Callithrix jacchus: one gene and its partners. The protein of the gene in region 3 interacts with the protein of the main gene of each other region in a pairwise test. Links are inferred from orthologs where the notes say so. Each region holds a gene or a part of one and is shown on either strand. Other genes may lie near its edges. The genes, in order: ARHGAP31, SYNJ2, RAC1, RALBP1 and RAP1GDS1.

Region 1 (4,234 bases), on a different chromosome or scaffold from region 3:
CTGGCTCCCAGTTACCACACTGACTTGGCACCCTCAGCATTCTGGGCTGATCTTCCAAGGTGGTGGGCAATGGGCCAGTGCCCAGCTCAGCTTTTCCTCCCAGAAGCAGAGTCCAGGCCTTGTCTATGAACCAATACATGTTTCAGAAAGTCCACAAAAAAGCAACATTACTTTAGAGAAAATTATTAGCCCTGACTTTGTTCATAGATGCTACACTATAGCAAACACAGGAAAAAAAAAAAAAAAACTATTCAACTAGTTTTAGCTGTGGGAAAAAAATAAATTCTAATTACTCTTATTTACATAAGCAGCTTATTATGCATGTGTAATTTCCGTGTAGCACAATAACGGTGTGTGGATCATTAAGTGGGTCAGTTGCCTTTCCTTTCAAAGCTGAACTCTCATCTCAAACTTGAAAGTTTGCTGATCCTGTAGCAGGGCTGTCTGCTTTCAATTTAGGGGGAAAATATCATTAGAAGAGAATGTTGGCTTAGACATAGAAGCCAGTGAGGGCAGAGGAACCTAACAGGCCAGGGAGGGCCCTCTGATCCCTCATCATCAGCTGTATCACCTTAGGCAGTCCAATTGACCCCTCTGGACTTTCTTTCCTCCTCCCCAGGGTGGGGAGCACTGGGTACTGGTTTGCCATTCTTTTAAGCAGTAGTCCTTTTCTTTTCTTTTTTTTTTTTTTTGGTTTAAATGAAACATATCCAGAAGCCCTAAATATAAAGCAGGTGAAAGAACAGCTGTCTAAGGCTGCCTTTGAGGTATCTTCACAGAACCCTGGGGTTCTGGCTTTTTCTATGATCTATTAGTTTGTAAGAATGAACAGGGCTGGCAAGCGCCCCTATACAACTCTCATGGCTTTGAGGGAGGGGCCAGAATAACACCCACATGGTGAAAGGTAGCATCCCAGGAGCATTCCTAGTGTGCCTGGAGGTTAACTTGAAGGCCCCTACAACAACAGGTGAAGGAAAACATTTCATTGTAAACTTGTGACAATGGTGAGTAAGAGGCATACTTAGAGTTCCCTCACATCCAAAAAAACTCAAACCAAGTGATTTTTATCTCAAATCTACCTCTCCAGCTGGTTGGTGAGGATTCAATGAATCATTCAGTTATGTATCAATTTCAAAAGAGTCAGTTTTGAAATAGTTCTCCAAGCTCTAAAATACTAAGCCATTTGTCCTAATGACACAGCAGACTGAACTCTAGAATACCACAGGAATATCACACCACTGCAAATTACTAGGTGGTGCTGAGTCTCCCAAAAAAACGGAAGTGAAACAAAAGCATTGCACTGTTTTTCAAATGCATATTTGATATGGACTAATCAAATAGTTTTTGAGATTACTTTCCTGGGGCAGAATAATTCTGCACAGTTACACAGCCCTTATGTTTTCCCCTTTGTTGTATCTATCTATGTATAAACACATGGCCCATATATTAGGCTACTTTCCCTCTCACTGAAGCTTCTAAAGACAAGGCCTTTTTGTCATGGGTAAGTGCAAAACCAGTCAACCTTGCAAAAGGAGTCATTTAATGCTCAATTTTCCAACTTTCCTATGATTAAACGCTTCTAAGCTCAAACGCTGTTATTGAAATCTACATAGTTTTCTTTCCTCTTTCCCCAACAAATGTTTAAATTGTCTCCAATGGATTCACCCCTCCCCACATTTTTTCCCCCAATCTGACCTTGAAAACAGCGAAGTTTTCCTTTTCTCTACTTACCCTAAACTATTTAAAAATCAAGGCCCTCTGACCTTTCTACAACACTCTTCTTGTCTAACACACCAAATGTTAATCTGAAAGCCAAGAGGAGGGAAAAGGTCTTGGGGGGTTGTGGAATGGGGGTGGAGGTACTATATATTTGGCATCAGCTCAGAAATTCAGAAATGTTTGTGCAACCACTCCTTCAGCCAGGATCCTCCCCCACCCGCCACCCCCAACTGCCTTCTAACACAATAATAAAAAAAGATGTGAGCAAACGAAATTGGAGAGCCCAGGAGGGACAGCAAAGGCGGTCATGATTCTGTACCCAGGGAAGCCCACTGATCACCATCCCACATGTCCACCCTCCTCCCTCCCTTCCAGCACACAAAGTTTAGGATCTGGATCTCTGCAGCTTCCACCCCCATCGCCAGAGGTGGCCGGGTAAACTTGAGGCAGTACCACCCATTAACGGCTTATGTGAAACAACGGAAGGATTGACACAGCTGCCTCTGCGCGTCGGGACAGCAGCCCTGTGCACCTTAAGAATCGTTTACGTTCTTTAAAAAAAAAAAAGTACAATGAGCGCACAGGCCTGGAATACATTAACTTGTGAACCGATTCTAACACAGCCCAAGACAGTCCATCTCTCCCTCAAACAAAAAGAAGGGGGGAAAGGCCAAGCAAGGCACATTACCATCCTGTCCCGAGTTTTCCAGATACTCCGTCAGGTCACAGCCAAACGCGCTGGCGGCTCCCTTTCGTTTCAGCTTCTGCTTGGCACCCTTGTTCTTCATGAGTTAGTCCCAAAGAGGCTGCCCCTCCGTCTCCGCCGCCCCTCTGCTTGGCACCGCTGTAAGACTGGCTCCCGGGCTAGATCACCGGCTGCCCCGCGGCTCTGGGAGGCCGCATCGGAGGACAGGACGGAAGGAGCCGGGCGGGGGGCCCTGCGCATGGACCCCGCGGGGCGCGGGCCGGCAGAGCCTGAGATCCACCCCGCGCCGCTCCGGGGCCGCCGTGCCGAGGCCGTGCAGACTGGCAGCCGCGGGCCGGCTAGCCTGGGAGTGTCACTTCCTCACTGGGAGTCCCAGGGACTTTCACAGGCTCCTGCGGTGTCTTCGGGCGTTTCTCCTGCGCCTCGGAGGGAGGGCGCGCTCTCTCCCCGCCTTCTCGAGTGCCCTGGAGAGGACGCGGCGCGGAGGCAGCGGCGCGGGGCGAGGAGACGGCCCGGGGTCTGCGGCGGGTCCTGCGCCCTGGGCCCGCGGTCTCGCCTTCAGACGGCTTTGGTAGAGCGAAAAACAAGCATCCTGTCCCTCCTGCCCGCCCTCACGCCTTCCTTTTTTTCCTGTCTTACAAATCCTAGGATCATCCAGCTCAGGAAACGCTGGAAGGAAGTTAGCTAGGGAGGGGGGCGGAGGGTGGAAATTTTTGGCAGCTCCGCGCTTGTGAGTGTGTGGAGCCGGAGGAAGTAGGTGGGTGGGTTGAGGAGCACGGGGTGGGGGAGAGAACGCGTTCTCCCGAGAGCTGTTCAGCGGCTCCAGAGATAACTGGGCAGCCGGGGAGGAAATCGCGCGCTCCTCTCAGGACCCGCAGCCGCAGACGCCGCTTCCTGCCCCGCCGAGCCGGCTCTTTGAAGCGGCAGGAGGAGGTGCGCTGGCGTTCTGCGGGGACCGTGCTGGATGGGACTTTCGGAACGCTCTGCCCTGGTTTTATCCTCGTTGTCATCGTATCTTTGACACTTTCTATTTTGGTGCCCGCCGGTCGACGGGACGGCGGCGGAGAAACCTGACAGGCAGTGTGGCTTCACGCCGGGCACTCCCATCCCTTCCTCCTCCGCCGCGTCCGTGCACCCCCCACCCCGGCTCACTCCCCTCCCACACTGGGGTAAAGATACCTCTGGGCAAAGAGAGGCTGCAGCTTTGTAACCGCTGCCCAGGAAGTCAGATTTCTGGTGCTAAATGGAAGTGATGGGGGGAGGGTGGGCGACAAACCAGGATTTAAGGTGCCTCTGACATCTTAAATGTGAAGAAAGCAGTCTCCCAGGTTGTTTCATAATTTGTCTCAAGTTGTTTCAGGAGGGCATGTTTTTCTTTCTCCAGTTAGATTCTAAATTCCTTGACTTTTGTGTACTCAGCACACAGTAAGCACTCAAATTCTTGTGATTTAACCATTTGAGGATTAGATGAAACTTCCTGTATAAATTCAAATCCATATACAGTCTTGAAGGGTAGGGGCATTCAGGGTTCAGATTGCTGGCAAAGCTGCATCTGTAGCATTTTAGGTACTAAATCCCTTTGTAGTCACTGTCTCTCTAGGTATCACCTTAACAGTTTATGAACTTTGATCCTTGACATTTTCTGTATGTCAGAGGTCAGAACTTGATAGCCAGCCTGCCAGATCTGGCCCATAGATGTGCTTGGCTGGCAGACACCAGGCTTTAAAATGTTTTAAAATTTGTAGCCAGCATTAAAAAGATAAGAGATTTCACATAAGATGTGAATTTCTGGCTTCTCTTGAAGAAATG
Region 2 (3,514 bases), on a different chromosome or scaffold from region 3:
CGAGGCTATGACGTTTGGTAGGTTAGGTGTATTAGATGCAGGTTTGACATGGTAATTTTCAACTTATGATGGGTTTATTGGGGACATAACCCCATTTTAAGTCGAGGAACATCTGAACGGGAAAAAGGGGGACGAAAAAGGTCCACTTTGTAAGGAGGCATGGACAAGGGATGGATGGCAATGAGCCAACGTGGGATGGAAGAGCAACCCAGGAACTACAAAGCAAGTGCTGCCAAGAGTGAAGCCAAAGTCACTGCTCACACTCCCTTGGGGGAAGCGGCGCCACGCTGGGATGACCAGGGAGGGATTACCGAGGGTCCGTCACTAGAACACTGAGATCAAACGGAAGATCCAGATGTGTCTACAGATGCCAGTCTTTGGGCTGCTACTGTCCTTACAAACTCATGTCTTTGAAGCAGTAAGCAAGGCTGAGAAGCTTGAGAGCGAGAGCAAAAAACAATCTGCAAGAAAAGTGTCAAGAAAAGCTGTGGAACCTCACATAGACCGAGGCCACACGAGAGCCTGGAACCTGGCAAATCTGGGAATCGGTTACTGTTTTTCTAATGCCTTGAAACCACGTGCACACAACACAGACCACATGCAAATGCGCGGTACCAGAACACGAGGGGAAAAGCATCCCACTGTGTTTCCCTCTGGGGATCCAGAACACTTAGGAAGCATAATACCTCCAAGCTGTTCTCGTCACACTGACAATCTGCGAAGACAGTGGACCCCTTGTTCTTCTCAGCCAGAGCCAAGACACAGTGGGGCATGAGGGAGGAAGCAGTCGTCAAACCCTTCCCCAAAGACACGCCTGTGTCTGGAACTCATGAACAGAGGATGTCCATAGGTAACTAGATTTTTTGTCTGTGAGACACAATTCTTATCTATCAAGATATCCGAGCGACTTAGGAGTAAGAGGCTTTATGTTACCAGGCTGTTACCTTTCCTGTCCTTCTCAAGGTTGGCTTCTTGATGGCAGGAACTCTGGGTGGGGGGCGGCGGGGCAGGAGCGGGGGTGCCTGTGGGGTCTCTGGTTTGGCTGCCCCTGGTATGGGCTCTGGTTCAGAGGATGCTTGGTCCCTCAGGGCCATGGTGTTGAAGGCTTCTTCTGAGGCACCTGAAACATAAAACCACATGGCGGCAGTGTCAAGGGTGAGGTAATTCACTGCATGATTTCCTCTTTAGACAGTCTACATCCTAAGGGTAATTTACTAATTCAGTGTATTTCCGGACTAACCAGCTAGGTTCAGTCCCAGCTTTTCTCACTATTTATTTTTTAAGGTGGGATTGTGCTGTGTCACCCAGGCTGGAGTGCAGTGGTGCAATCACGACTCACTGCAGTCTCAACCTCCCAGGCTCCAGTAGTTCTCCCGCTTCAGCCTCCTGAGTAGCTGGGATTACAGGTGAGTGCCACCATGCCCAGCTATTTTTTTTTTTTTTTAATTTTTAGCAGAGATGAGGTCTCACTATGTTGCTGGAACTCCTGGGCTCACGCAGTCTTACCTTAGCCTCCCAAGTAGCTGGGACTATCGGTGCGAACTACCATGCCCAGCTAATTTTAAATTTTTTGGGCAGGGCACGGTAGCTCATGCCTATAATCCCAGCACTGTGGGAGGCTAAGGTGGGCAGATCATGAGGTTAGGAGTTCAAGACCAGCTCGGCCCACATGGTAAAACCCCATCTCTACTAAAAATACAAAAAGTAGCCAGGTGTGGTGGTGTGTGCCTGTAGTCCCAGCTACTCGGGAGGCTGAGGCAGGAGAATCACTTCAATCTCCTCCTCTGGGAGGCAGAGCTTACAGTGAGCTGAAATTGCGCCACATCATGACAAAGTGAGACTCTTGTTATAAATAAATAAAATGAAATAAAATAAATTTTTGCCTTGACCTCCTGGACTCAAGCAATGCTCCTGCCCCAGCCTCCCAAAGTGCTGGGATCATAGGCGTGAGCCACTGCGCCCTGTAGCCCCAGCTTTTCACATTCACCTTCCTAGCAGGGGTGGTGATCTGGGGTCTGTGGATAGTCTGGATGTGGACCAGTGAGACCCTGAGACCATATGCAAAGTCTCATGTGTACTTACATTTCTCAGGGGAGATGATCCACATACATCCAAATCTCAGTGGGGCCATGACCAAGAGCGTGTTAAGCTGAGACTGCAGGTAGATTTCAAACCTCTAGTAACGTCTACATCACTAGTTTTTGTTTTTTTAAACAGCTTTATTGTGATATAATTCACATACGGTGAAACTGACCCTTTTTAAGTGTACCCTTCATTGTTTTTATTATATTCACAAAGTTGTGCAACCATCACTACCGTCTAACTCCAGAACATTTTCATCACACAAAAAAGAAGCCCCACACCATCAGCAGTCACTCCCCACCCACCCCTCTTTCCAGACCCTGGGAAGCACAAAGCGCTTTCTGACCCCATGAATTTGCTGGCTGTGGCCATTTCATAAAAAGGGATGGTATACTATGTGGCCTTTATTGTTTTCCTTCTTTCTTTCACATAGCAAAATCTTTCCAAGGTCCACCTATGAGGTAGTACGTATCAGCACTGCGTTCTTTTTCAATGGCTTAACAATATTCCATTGTATGGATGGATCACATTTTGTTTATCCATTTATCAGCTGATGGAAACTTGCTTTGTTAAATCCATAGTTTTAGTTATTTTTCTAAAATAAAAAAAGAAACCATTTGTGGCAGTATTATTCTATAACAGTAGTTCTCAACCTTTTAACGCATGCCCCCTTGAATATTATTTGAGAATTCCAAAGCAGTTAAACATGCTGACTAAAAGCAAACTAGGCAATGGTGATTGCTCACACCTTTTCAAAGGGCACAGTCAGCTGGGCATGGTGGCTCACGCCTGTAATCCCAGCACTTTGGGAGGCTGAGGCGGGTGAATCACCTGAGGTTGGGAGCTCGAGACCAGCTTGGCCAACATGGTGAAACCCTGTTTCTACTAAAAATACAAAAATTAGCTGGGCATGGTGGTACGTGGCTATAGTCCCAGCTACTCAGGAGGCAGAGGCAGGAGAATTGCTTGAACCTGGGAGGCAGAGGTTGCTGGGGTTGAGCCACTGCACTCTAGCCCAAGTGACAGAGTGAAACTCAGTCTCAAAAAAAAAAAAAAAAAGGACACACTCTCTTCTTGCCAAAGGAGATTCTGGAACAAAGCCAAGGCCAAATGTAAAAGTGTAAATTACCAGTGATTATGAACGAAGTGGGGAGAGGCCAAGCTGACTAATGTGGGTTCAGTGAAGTAACCGCAAGAGAAAACAGACAGGATGGTAGGAAAGAGGTCCCTGCCTGACACTAAGAACTTTACTTACACTTGCCAGCCATTTAAAAGGTAGATTTTATGCCTGAAATTAGGACAAACACTATAACTTTGTCTTTTTTATAAAGCTGGCAGAATGACTTAGTGCTGGCAGCATTAACCTGTTTTTAAAATTCAATTTAGTTTATTTCAGTTTATCCTCTAGATGCTGCTTAAGAGCCCTGGAATG
Region 3 (4,303 bases):
CTGCCCGGGGCTTCCCAAATTGTTGGGATTTCAGGCGTGAGCCACCGGGCCCTGCCAGCAACAGTTTTTGTTTTTTGTTTTTGTTTTTTTTTGGCTGAATGGACATTGTTATTGCCAAATAAAGGTATGGTGTATGATTTTAGACTTCCTTATAGTTTTAGAATCCGAATTTTCTAGAAGGATCTAATGTAATCGCAGATAGTTATCAGATAAAGAATGAAACAGGAGGAATCAATGCCTTCTGATGGCCTCAAGCAGGTGTTAGCAACAGGGAGCTTGGCTCCTGCAACCACAGGTTCCTCTTTTTTTTTTTTTTTTTTAAGATGGAATCTCAATCTGTAGCCCAGGCTGGAGTTCAGTAGCACGATTTCAGCTCACTGCAACCTCCGCCTCCCAGGTTCAAGCCATTCTCTGCCTCAGCCTCCTGAGTAGCTGGGATTACAGGCACCTGCCACCACGCCCGGCTAATTTTTTTTTTGAGACGAAGTTTCGCTCCTGTTTAGCGTGCAATGGGGCGGTCTCAGCTCACCACAACTTCCGCCTCCTGGGTTCAAGCGATACCCATGCCTCAGCCTCCCAAGTAGCTGGGATTACACGCATGTGCCATCACGCCCGGCTAATTTTGTATTTTTAGTAGAGACGGGGTTTCTCCATGTTGGTCAGGCTGGTCTCGAACTCCCTATCTCGGGCCACCAGCCCGCCTCGCCCTCCCATCCGTATTTTCGGGCCTCCCGCCCGCCTAGGCCTCCCATGCCTATCTCGGGCCTCACAAAGTGCTGGGATTACAGGCATGAGCCACCGCGCCCGGCCTAATTTTTGTATTTTTTTTAGTAGGGACGGGTTTTCACCAGCGTTCGTTTCTTCCCGGACGCTGGTCTCGAAATGCTGACCTTGTAATCCACTTCGGCCTTCCAAAGTGTCAGGTTTACAGGCATGAGCAACCGCGCCCAGCTACTACAGGTTTTTCTTTCCTTTTTTTAAGACGGAGTTTCGCTCTTGTTACCCAGGCTGGAGTGCAAATGGCGCGATCTCGGCTCACCGCAACCTCCGCCTCCTGGGTTCAGGCAATTCTGCCCCAGCCTCATGAGTAACTGGGATTACAGGCACACGCCACCATGCCCAGCTAATTTTTTTGTATTTGTAGTAGAGACGGGGTTTCACCTTGTTGACCAGGATGGTCTCGATCTCTTGACCTCGTGATCCACCCGTCTCGGCCTCCCAAAGTGCTGTGATTACAGGCTTGAGCCACCGCGCACTGAACCCCAGAGAAAGGACCCGCAGATCCCGCCACGCCTATGCCGCGTTAGCGCGCAAAGATGGCAGCCGCCGCGCCCCGTGGGCGGAGACAAGCGGGCCCGAGCACTTCCGAGCGTTCCTGAAGCCCAGAGGAACTCCGGGAACCGCGCGGGCGGGAGCTGCCCCACCCGGAACCTGGGAGCGGCGGCGCCGGCGCGGGGGAGGGGAGGCCGGATGTGAGTGGAGCGGCCATTTCCTGTTTCTCTGCAGTTTTCCCCAGCTTTGGGTGGTGGCCGCTGCCGGGCTTCGGCTTCCAGTCCGCGGAGGGCGAGGCGGCGTGGACAGCGGCCCCGGCATCCAGCGCCCTGCCGTCCTCAAGCCGCGCGCCCGTCCGCCGCGCCCCGAGCCCGCCGCTTCCCGTTTCAGCGCCGTGCCGCTGCCGCCGCGGCCCAGCGAGCGGCCCAGATGCAGGCCATCAAGTGTGTGGTGGTGGGAGACGGGTAAGTGCGTTGCCGGGTCTGGGCTGGGGGCCGCGGGGGCGGGCGCGGGCCGGGGTGGGCGCGGGCGGGGGGCGGGCCGGGATTGGGGCCCAGGCAGGCCGGGATCCCTGGCGGGCTCGCGTAGGCGGTGGGCCTGGGCCTGTGGGGCACGGGGCGGGGGCCGCGGGCGCCGGCTGCCCGGGCGGCGCGTGCCTGGTTCCGGCTCTCGCTGGGGGAGGGCTTCGCCACTCGCCGGCCGGTGGAAAAAGTGAACTCCACCCTCCGGCTTTCTTCCCGGACGCCGCCCGCCGCCCGCCGCCCTCCCCGGGAGCCCTCGTAGAGGAAGCGCTCTTGGAGATTTTTACCGTTTTTCCAAAAAGGGACCCTCTCTTGTTTTTTTGCTTGAACCTCTCGATCCCTGGACCTCGAGAGCTGTGTTGGGAACCCGGCGGTTGAGTCGATCATATTTGATGCGTGCCCGATTGAACTGGCCGCTTTAGTGCCCCAAAGTTTTCTTTAAAAATTTTTTTTTTTTTTTTGCAGAGACGGAGTCTCGCTGTGTTGCCCAAGCTGGTCTTGAACTCCTCCTGGGTTCAAGCGATTCTCCCATCCCAGCCTCTCAAAATGCTGGGATTACAGGCGCCTACGCCTGGCTAATTTTTAAAACTTTTTGTAGAAATGGGGTCTCACTGTATTTCCCAGGCTGGTTTCGAATTCCTGGCTGGGATCAGGCGAACCTCCTGCCTGTCAGCCTCCAAAAGCGCTGGGTTGACACCGCGCCCGGCCCCCAAACTGATTTTTGAGCAGGTTTTTTCGACTTACACTTCTGCCACTGTTAGGATTCCTAAAATTAATGCTTTCTCCCTTTCCGAGGATAAAGTTTTTAAGATGCTCCCTGGCAGGAGCCATCTGTGATGGGGACTGTTCTTTTATCTTTCTTTATTTTATTTTATTTTTTTAAACGTGGTGTGGTCATTGAAAAAAAAAAAAAACTTTCTTGCTTAACGCGTTGGGTATGGGATGTAGCAGAACTGGCTCCTGTGACTCCAGGCGTTGCTTTTCATGACTGTCCGTGTTGGTTACAGGCCCTCGAGAAGGACAAGACTTGTTTTATGCCGTTTTTTTCTCCCATAGAAACAAAAATCTCAGTGTAACCCGAGCAAAATCGCGCGTCTCAGGCGTCGCTTGTATAGGTTAGTGTTAGCAAGGAAGAATTACTAACAGTTTCGTCAAACTCAGAATGCAACTGGTACATGTTCGAGTAAAGTCGAAGGAAAGTTAGGGCATCAAGGTTAACTTGGTTGATATTCTTCGAATTTGTCATTAGGTTTTGGTTTTATGCCTCTACGTCAATTCATGGATTCTCAGTGTATTTAGATAATTATACTGTTAAGACATTTGCAATTGTTTCAGTTATCCTTCTTGCAATTCAGATGCAAGAGGATAATTAGACAACTGATTTTTGTGAGAGGCCCATCTGTCGGATTTGTCTTGCAAGTGTGAAGGATTATTAACGCCTCATAATTTTATGTTTATATGATAACTAAAAATTGTAACTTTCAGTTAGAGTACGTATGCTGTTCAAGCTTTTTTTTTTTTTTTGACTCGGAGTCTCACTCCGTTGTCCAGGCTAGAGTGCAGCAGTGTGATCTCTGCTCACTGCACCCTCTGCCTCCCAGGTTAAAGTGGTCCTCCTGCCTCGGCCCCCCTAGCAGCTGGGATTACAGGCACGTGCCACCATGCTTGGCCGGTTTTTGTAATTTTAGTAGAGATGGGGTTTCGCCATATTGGCCAGGCTGGTTTTGACCTCCTGACCTTGTGATCCTCCTGCCTCAGCCTCCCAAAGTGCTGGGATTACAGGCATGAGCCATTGTGCCTGGCTGGGCTTTACTTTTTTATTTGGGAAAAGTGTTCAGTCAATTGATTGATAGTGACATCAGTGAATTGTTTCATTTAAAAAAAAATTTTCGAGACAGGGTCTCTCAGTGTTACACAGGTTGGAGTGCAGTTGTGCCATCTTGGCTCACTGCAACCTCCACTTCACCCGCTCAAGCGATTCTTAGCCTCCCGAGTAGCTGGGATTACAGGTGCCTGCCACCACGACTGGCTAGTTTTTGTATTTTTAGTAGAGATGAGGTTTCACCATGTTGGCCAGGGTGATTTTGAATTCCTGACTCAAGTGATCTGCCTGCCTTATCCTCCCAAAGTGCTGGGATTACAGGAGTGAGCCATGGCACCTGGCCCACCTTTTCTTAAGAACATTTAACATTATTTGGATTTCCTTTAAGCTAAAAACGCTGAATCAAGTTTTTTTTTTTTTGTTTGTTTGTTTGTTTTTTTTTTTGAGATGGGGTCTCAGTCTGTTGCCCAGGCTGGAGTGTGATAGTGTGATCTCGGCTCACTGCCACCTCCATCTCCTGAGTTCAAGCGATTCTCCTGCCTTAGCCTCCTGTGTAGGTGGTGTTACGGGCGCGTGCTACCACCCAGCTAATTTTTTGTATTTTTAGTAGAGATGAGGTTTCACCATGTTGTCCAGGCTGGTCTTGAACTCCTGACCTCAGGTGATCTGTCCACTTTGGCCTAGGATG
Region 4 (3,514 bases), on a different chromosome or scaffold from region 3:
GATTTTCCTGCCTGAGCCTCCCTTACTGGTAAGCTGGGATTACAGGTGTGTGCCACTATGCCCAGCTGATTTTCTTGTATTTTTAGTAAAAACAGGGTTTCACCATGTTGGCCAGGGTGGTCTCAAACTCCTGACCTCAAATCATCCACCCACCTCAACCTCCCAAAGTGCTGCAATTATAGGCGTGAGCCACGGTGCCCGGCTAAAACATCTTATGTTCTTTATTTTCAACTTACTTTGAGATCTTTTACAGATACAATGGGCTGAATGAGGACTGTGAGGGAAGCCAGAGAACTACAGTAGTAAAGCTGGATTGAGGTTGAAAGCTCAATTTACGTATGGATGTTCATATGCTAGAAGATCAGAGCATTAGGATGACTGAAAAGCTAATATAAGAAATTATTTCCTACCTAAAACTTAACTCTTACAACACACTTGGCTCTCCTATGATACGATCATCTATATTACAGTAATATTAAGTATCAATGTAATATTTACCAGATCCTGAAATCCTAATATGACCAAACTAAAATCTGAGAAACTTTTGCTTTCAAAGTGTAATCAATGAATAACAAAAGAATCTTTATTTTTTAGAGATAGATTCTTGCTCTGTCACCCAGACTGGAGTACAGTGGCATGATCATAGCTCACTAATGGGCTCAAGCAAGCCTTCTACCTCAGCCTCCAAAGTAACTGAGACTACATGTACATGCTACCACACCCAGCTAATTTTTTATTTTTTTTTTGCTATGTTGCCTAGCTGAACTCCTGGCCTCTAACTATCCTCCTGCCATGGCTTTCTAAAGTGCTGGCATTACAGGTGTGAGCCACTGTGCCTCACTGAAAGACTCTTTAGTAAATAAAAACACACTCTCATAACAGCAACAGTCATTTATGGTGACTTAGAATACTGGCCAAAAAGAGGGCTTAAGATAATAAATATAACCTATCATCTCCCTTTTATTGGCCTGAGCAAAACATCATTAACTCTAATTAAAGGAAAACATATACTCTATGACAGCACCAATTGAGCAGCAACAAAGAAAGGTCAACGTGTATGTTGTAAAAAGATACCAATTAACATATTACCCAATTTCCTGAAGTACCTTCTCAGATTCAGAGCCTGTAACATGTCCCTCTAGGATCCATCCTTATGAATGAAATCCTCAGGCTAAATATTTGACCAAACAAATTAATTTTAGGTCCTTTTGTGCTTGAGTTTGATGCGTGTTTGTGATATAATTAAGTAATAATGCTATTTGATGAAATAACTGGCATCTCTAAAATTCTACACATGAACTCTCTAACTGTAGATGCCATGGGCTCCTGCTCCAATAACAAACAATCCCTGTCATCAGGCCTTATTTATAAACCCCCATCAAAGACTATACCATATTCACATTACATCATTACAAGCTAAAGGGCAAGTATGTTCATTATCTTATACCTTGACACTGTCCACATTATGAAAGAAAAAGACCTGTATTCAAGCTAATCCATTACCTATCTTCTCAAGTTCACTGCTTTACATGTGACTCAGCAATAGAAAATGTACTCCGATTCCCCAGTGTCAGTACTAGAGGGGATGTGTGTAGAGAAGACCATGTACCTGCACAGTTGGGCTGAGCACTATGGAAATGTTCTGTATGTTCATTTTTGTTTCCAGTTCCTTTGCGATGACATGGTCCATGTGCACAATGAGCCAAGAAATCAGAAGATAGTTACATTCTGGCAGTTCTTTGAGTAAACGCTGGAATTCCTGCACTTTCTCAGTCTCCGTGGTTCTCCCACAAGCCTCTTCAAATCTGGGCATAAGCTCTTTGGTAAGCAAATTCTCTGGAAGGTCTCGCAAATACTGCTTCAGCAAACTGGCTACAGTGTTAGGCTCATATTCTTCCAAGTTTGTAGACTCCTCTCGGTCATAGGCTGCTTTTAGCTCATCCACCTTTGATTTAATTCCTTAAAACATTCAAATTCAGAAGAGAGAAGATACTGAGAAAATAAAATAAAACACACAAGCTTTCTTCACCATTTCACACACCCTTGCTAGGGATCTGAGAACAGCAACCTGAACAATAACAAACCTCTTCCTATGAAATATTTATCTGCACAAAGGTCATACAATTCCTCTGTAAACACCAACGTGTAAGACAACACTTGGCCAGGCGCAGTGGTTCACACCCAAAAACCCCAGCTCTTTGAGAGGCTGAGGCAGGCGAATCACTTGAGCCCAGGAGCTCAAGACAAGCTGGGCAACATGGTGAAAACCTGTCTCTACAAAAAATACAAAAATTAGCTGGACATGGTGGCATGTACCTGTGGTCCCAGTTCTGTGGGAGGCTGAGTTGGGAGGACCACTTGAGCCTGGGAGGTTGAGGCTACAATGAGCCATAGTTGTGCCACTGTATTCCAGCCTGGGGGACAGAGTAAGACACTGTCTCAAAAAATAAAAAAATTAATTAACAATAGGCTGGGTGTGGTAGCTCACACCTGTAATCCCAGCACTTTGGGAGGCCAAGGCAGGCAGATCATTTGAAGTCAGGAGTCCAACATGAGCCTAGCCAACATGGTGAAACCCTTGTCTCTACTGAAAATATAAAAATTAGCCAGGCATGGTGGCACATGCCTATAGTCCAGCTACTTGGGAGGCTGAGGCAGGAGAATCACTTGAACCTGGGAGGCAGAGGCTGCAGTCAGCCAAGATCATGCCATTGTACTGCAGCCTGGTGACAGAGCGAGACTCCATCTAAAAAAGGAAACCCAAAAAACTACACTTCAAAAGTGAATTTAACCAAAAGTTAAATAAGAATTGAAAAACTCAACATTCAGAACAAAAGTCAAAGCAACCATGGATACATTACGCAAATATGCCCATCAATTCATGAATTTTTTTTTAATGTAAAAGTGATTAGGTGTGGCCTGGCGCGGTGGCTGACACCTGTAATCCCAGCACTTTGGGAGGCCAAGGCAGGCGGATCACAAGGTCAGGAGCTCAAGACCAGCCTGGCCAACATGGTGAAACCTCGTCTCTACTAAAAATACAAAAATTAGCTGGGCATGGTGGCAGGCGCCTGTAATCTAGCTAAGGCAGGAGAATCATTTGAACCCGGGAGGCAGAGGTTGCAGTGAGCCGAGATCATGCCATTGTACTCCAGCCTGGGCAACAGAGCAAGACTCTTGTCTCAAAAAAAAAAAAAGGTAAAAGTCAGACACACTACAATCCAAGTGTAAGTCTTGCTTTACACAGGCAGCCAACTGCTTTTTCCAACAAGTCACAAGACTGACAAAAAATGCAACTTGGTGTACATAAGTATGTTCCAAAAAGTTGTGGGTAAATGACTTTTTATGTGTAAATACTGTACATGTGTAAATATTGTACTGTAACTGCAAAAGGTGAGTTAGCTACCCAAACAAACTCTTTGAAGATTATTCTCCATTAAACAATCCACATCTAATTTCTATTTCAAAGTTTGGATTTTTTAAGTATACCTTTAATCTGAACAGAGCTGGGACA
Region 5 (3,514 bases), on a different chromosome or scaffold from region 3:
CTAAAAACGAGTCCTTTTTCAACTAGAGGCACATTAAGACTATTATATCAAAAATACAAGTTGGGGAAAACATTTCTTTTACCTTGAGCATCTATTAACATTCTTAATGTTCCCAGAAGTTTGAACTGAACAGGGGGCATTTCAGATTTAAGAAATTTCAAAACTGTCTCTGTGACCCCAGCTGATAACATCTTTGCTTTATTTATAACTGGAGAAAAAGAAAGACTATGGTTAAAAATGGTATTAGCATTCCTGTTGATAAACATTCAATTCAATACACATTTATTGTGTGTCTTTAAGATCCGTGTTATATTTTTCCATTTAGAAACAATCCTGTTACTTTTCTGTCAATTTTAAGAATGGAATCTAATGTTTGTGTGTCCCTCTCCTGTTTGTGTATAAGCGCATAACAGAAAATATACTTTCTCGCTTTTTAAACCCCATTCGAAACATTTACTTACAAAGAAATGTCTTCTTTACTTTGTAAAGAAAATCTGAAAATGTTACCCTCTTAGAACAAAAAAACACAATTCTGTTTTTGATCCAACTGTATTAATATAAATGTTACAGACATTAATAAATGTTACTATCCTATATAAACCAAGTTGAATTCAACTGGATTGGATCATCATATAATTATACTATTTCATCTAACCAGAAATTTACTTTTAGAAAGTAGAATAAAGAAATAGTTGTAACTATCTTTTGCATTATTTTCCACAATAATGTGATTTCATAACTTACAAAGACACATTAAGGCTATTTTTTAAAAACTGTCTGCTTACAGGAAAATAACAACAACAACTGAAAGTCATTCTTCACTAAAGATGCTTATGGCCTGGTGCGGTGGTTCTCACCTGTAATCCCAGCACTTTGGGAGGCCAAGGTGAGCAGACTGCTTGAGCCCAGGAGTTCAAGACTAGCCAGGACAACATAGTGAGATCAGGTTTCTACAAAAAATAAAAAATCAGGCTGGGCACGGTGGCTCATGCCTGCAATCCTAGCACTTTGGGAGGCCGAGGTGGGTGGATCACAAGGTCAGGAGATTGAGACCAGCCTGGCTAACACAGTGAAACCCTGTCTCTACTAAAAATACAAAAATTAGCTGGGCCTGGTGGCATGCACCTGTAGTCCCAGCTACTCAGGACGCTAAGGCAGGAGAATCACTTGAACCCAGGAGGCGGAGGTTGCAGTGAGCTATCACACCACTGCACTCCAGCCTGGCAACAGAGCGAGACTCTGTCTCAAAAAAAAAAAAAAAAGTTAGCTGGACATGGTGGCACATTCCTGTAGTCCCTGCTACTCAGAAGGCTGAGGTGGGAGGACAACTTGAGCCCAGAAGGTAGAGGCTGCGGTGAGCAAAGATTGCATCATTGCATTCTAGTGTGGGTGACAGAGTGAGACACCATCTCAAAATAACAACAAAAAAACAAACAAACTTAAGAAAGCTTAACTATACAACATGATGAAAATCTAAGAGTCCGCAATAGGTAATAGGATGTCTGAATGAAGGCAATGATTATTCTTGTACTGTCTCGCAAAACTTATTTGACATATGATCTCCACTTATTAGTATGAAAAAATGTGAACAATGTGAAGACTTTAAATTTTCTTCATCAAAGCGGGTTTACAAATCACATAACACTAAATGGCTTCCCCAAATGATGGATTTTACTGTTTACACAGCTGCCTTCTATTCTTAAGTCTTACCTGGAATGGCCAGGTTTCTGAGGGCACTTAGTGCTGCATGCTGTACTGTTACATTTCCATCTTCTACATGTCTGTCCAGTAAATCCATAAGTTTTTCTACAATCCCATTGTCTACCATATGAATACAATTTCCGTCTGAGAAAGAAAAAAACATTTTTTTTTTCTTCTTTAAAATTTCTATAAATATTTTACACTACTGACATCGGCCTATTATCTACATCAGGGAAAATGGAGCTATACAATAAAATGGATTCCAAATCTTTCTCCCATCAGATTTATAGGTTTTTCTGTTTTCTGAGTGACAAGTATTATAAAAATTCTTAAACTAGATAAAATTTAAAAAATCAGAAAAATTACCAGAAAAATCCTTAGAGATAATATGTCAGAAGTAGAAACATATGGTTAGAATGTCCAATATTTTTCATTTATTTTGATGAATGCTTGTGTTCTGCCAATGTTACAGTGATAGTACTCTACCTTTTGTTATCATGGCTGATACCTAATTTCTTTTTCAAACATTTGCAAAGCACACAGAATATTATAATGAACTATTATAAATTTATCCCATATCTAGTTTCAATAATTATCCATATTATGCCACTCTAACCTCCATTATTAGGGAGTCACTCCCAAAAAGAAGGAGTAAAAATGAAGTCAGCCATTATGATGTATACCAACAGTGTGTATTGAAAGACAATTAAACTAAAAAGAAAAATAACCAATATTTCCTAGACATAGTATATTTCCTGGGTAACAGAGAATGAGTTTCTAGACTGTATTTGAGTTTTTTAGGAGTGCCAGATTTCATAAACATAGAAGTCTGGTACCCCCCGAAATATTATTAAACTAAATTAAATATTCTACAGGAAGTCAGAGGATTACTCATACTTAAATTTTATGAGCTTAAAAGTGTAAGTTGAGGCACAATAATTCTAGAATGAATACTCGGATAATTAGATGCAAAATAAAATCACTAGGCACAAGAGAGCAGATGTATACTAGAATGGGATTCAAGCTTAGCTCTGAAGTACAAAGTACTCAAAAGAAGTACTTCATGACCTTTAAACCCTTAGAATTTAGTTGAATTGCATAACATACGTAATTTGTTAGGAATGTCACTATAAGTATTTCAGATTTCTGAAAAATTAAGTTAGCAGCATACACACATATTACACAAAGTTCTACATTGTTCCAGTTTAGTATATGTGATGGCAAAGCAAAAGTAAACGAATATGGAATATTTGACTAACAAAGAAGGAAATAATATGCTTACCATTTCTGGCAAAATTTGCAATTGCCAATGCTCCAGCAAGCTGTAGCTGGTGGTTATTTGATGGAATCCAAGAAAGCACCCTTTGAAATACACTGCCTTTTCCTCCTTCAAATAACTTCTGCATGGATTCATCTGGAGGTAAATGAAACAAATAGTTAGGCAAGAGAAAAGTAACTAGAAGTAACAAATTCATATTCTTGGGTGAATATCCAACAGGGAAACTACATACCTCAGAAAGTATTACATTCATAATGGGAAAAGTAACAATTCTTTTTATAAAATCTTTTAATAGTTACTAGACAACAGAGTTTAGCATCTTTCTAGTCCAAGTCTCAGGGAGCCATCTAGCTTTTCTTCAGTCCCTTGGTGACAAAACTGTCTCTTCTATGTGACAGCTCTTCAAATATTGGAAGATAGTGAAGACACTTCTTTTTTGGGTTCATTATATCTGGTTCTATCAATGATGTGTTTAAAATGTCAAAATCATCACCTCAACAGCATGTGAGATAGAAAAATGAGAAAATGCCTAGG

What was found.
Region 1: the proteins of RAC1 (region 3) and ARHGAP31 interact in a two-hybrid assay, tested with the Homo sapiens proteins (2 studies listed by BioGRID and IntAct, with this or other methods). The link is inferred for Callithrix jacchus from reciprocal best matches to the Homo sapiens genes RAC1 and ARHGAP31.
Region 2: the proteins of RAC1 (region 3) and SYNJ2 interact in a two-hybrid assay, tested with the Homo sapiens proteins (2 studies listed by BioGRID and IntAct). The link is inferred for Callithrix jacchus from reciprocal best matches to the Homo sapiens genes RAC1 and SYNJ2.
Region 4: the proteins of RAC1 (region 3) and RALBP1 interact in a two-hybrid assay, tested with the Homo sapiens proteins (2 studies listed by BioGRID, with this or other methods). The link is inferred for Callithrix jacchus from reciprocal best matches to the Homo sapiens genes RAC1 and RALBP1.
Region 5: the proteins of RAC1 (region 3) and RAP1GDS1 interact in binary tests that used the Homo sapiens proteins (3 or more experiments, as listed by UniProt). The link is inferred for Callithrix jacchus from reciprocal best matches to the Homo sapiens genes RAC1 and RAP1GDS1.

Annotation. Positions count from the first base shown.
Region 1 is NC_133516.1:83,509,674-83,513,907, forward strand, and holds the start of ARHGAP31 (rho GTPase-activating protein 31), read right to left. Parts: upstream 2,812-4,234; 5' UTR 2,508-2,811; coding exon 2,408-2,507; intron 1-2,407. UniProt on the Homo sapiens protein: Functions as a GTPase-activating protein (GAP) for RAC1 and CDC42. Required for cell spreading, polarized lamellipodia formation and cell migration.
Region 2 is NC_133505.1:164,910,186-164,913,699, reverse strand, and holds part of SYNJ2 (synaptojanin-2), read right to left. Parts: intron 2,678-3,514; coding exon of another isoform or gene 2,670-2,677; exon of another isoform or gene 2,199-2,669; intron 1,121-2,198; coding exon 945-1,120; intron 462-944; coding exon of another isoform or gene 339-461; exon of another isoform or gene 262-338; intron 1-261. UniProt on the Homo sapiens protein: Inositol 5-phosphatase which may be involved in distinct membrane trafficking and signal transduction pathways. May mediate the inhibitory effect of Rac1 on endocytosis.
Region 3 is NC_133503.1:16,113,100-16,117,402, forward strand, and holds the start of RAC1 (ras-related C3 botulinum toxin substrate 1), read left to right. Parts: upstream 1-1,494; 5' UTR 1,495-1,701; coding exon 1,702-1,736; intron 1,737-4,303. UniProt on the Homo sapiens protein: Plasma membrane-associated small GTPase which cycles between active GTP-bound and inactive GDP-bound states.
Region 4 is NC_133514.1:53,424,154-53,427,667, forward strand, and holds part of RALBP1 (ralA-binding protein 1), read right to left. Parts: intron 1,960-3,514; coding exon 1,610-1,959; intron 1-1,609. UniProt on the Homo sapiens protein: Multifunctional protein that functions as a downstream effector of RALA and RALB. As a GTPase-activating protein/GAP can inactivate CDC42 and RAC1 by stimulating their GTPase activity.
Region 5 is NC_133504.1:99,093,648-99,097,161, forward strand, and holds part of RAP1GDS1 (rap1 GTPase-GDP dissociation stimulator 1), read right to left. Parts: intron 3,116-3,514; coding exon 2,984-3,115; intron 1,846-2,983; coding exon 1,711-1,845; intron 209-1,710; coding exon 83-208; intron 1-82. UniProt on the Homo sapiens protein: Acts as a GEF (guanine nucleotide exchange factor) for the Rho family of small GTP-binding proteins (G proteins) that stimulates the dissociation of GDP to enable subsequent binding of GTP.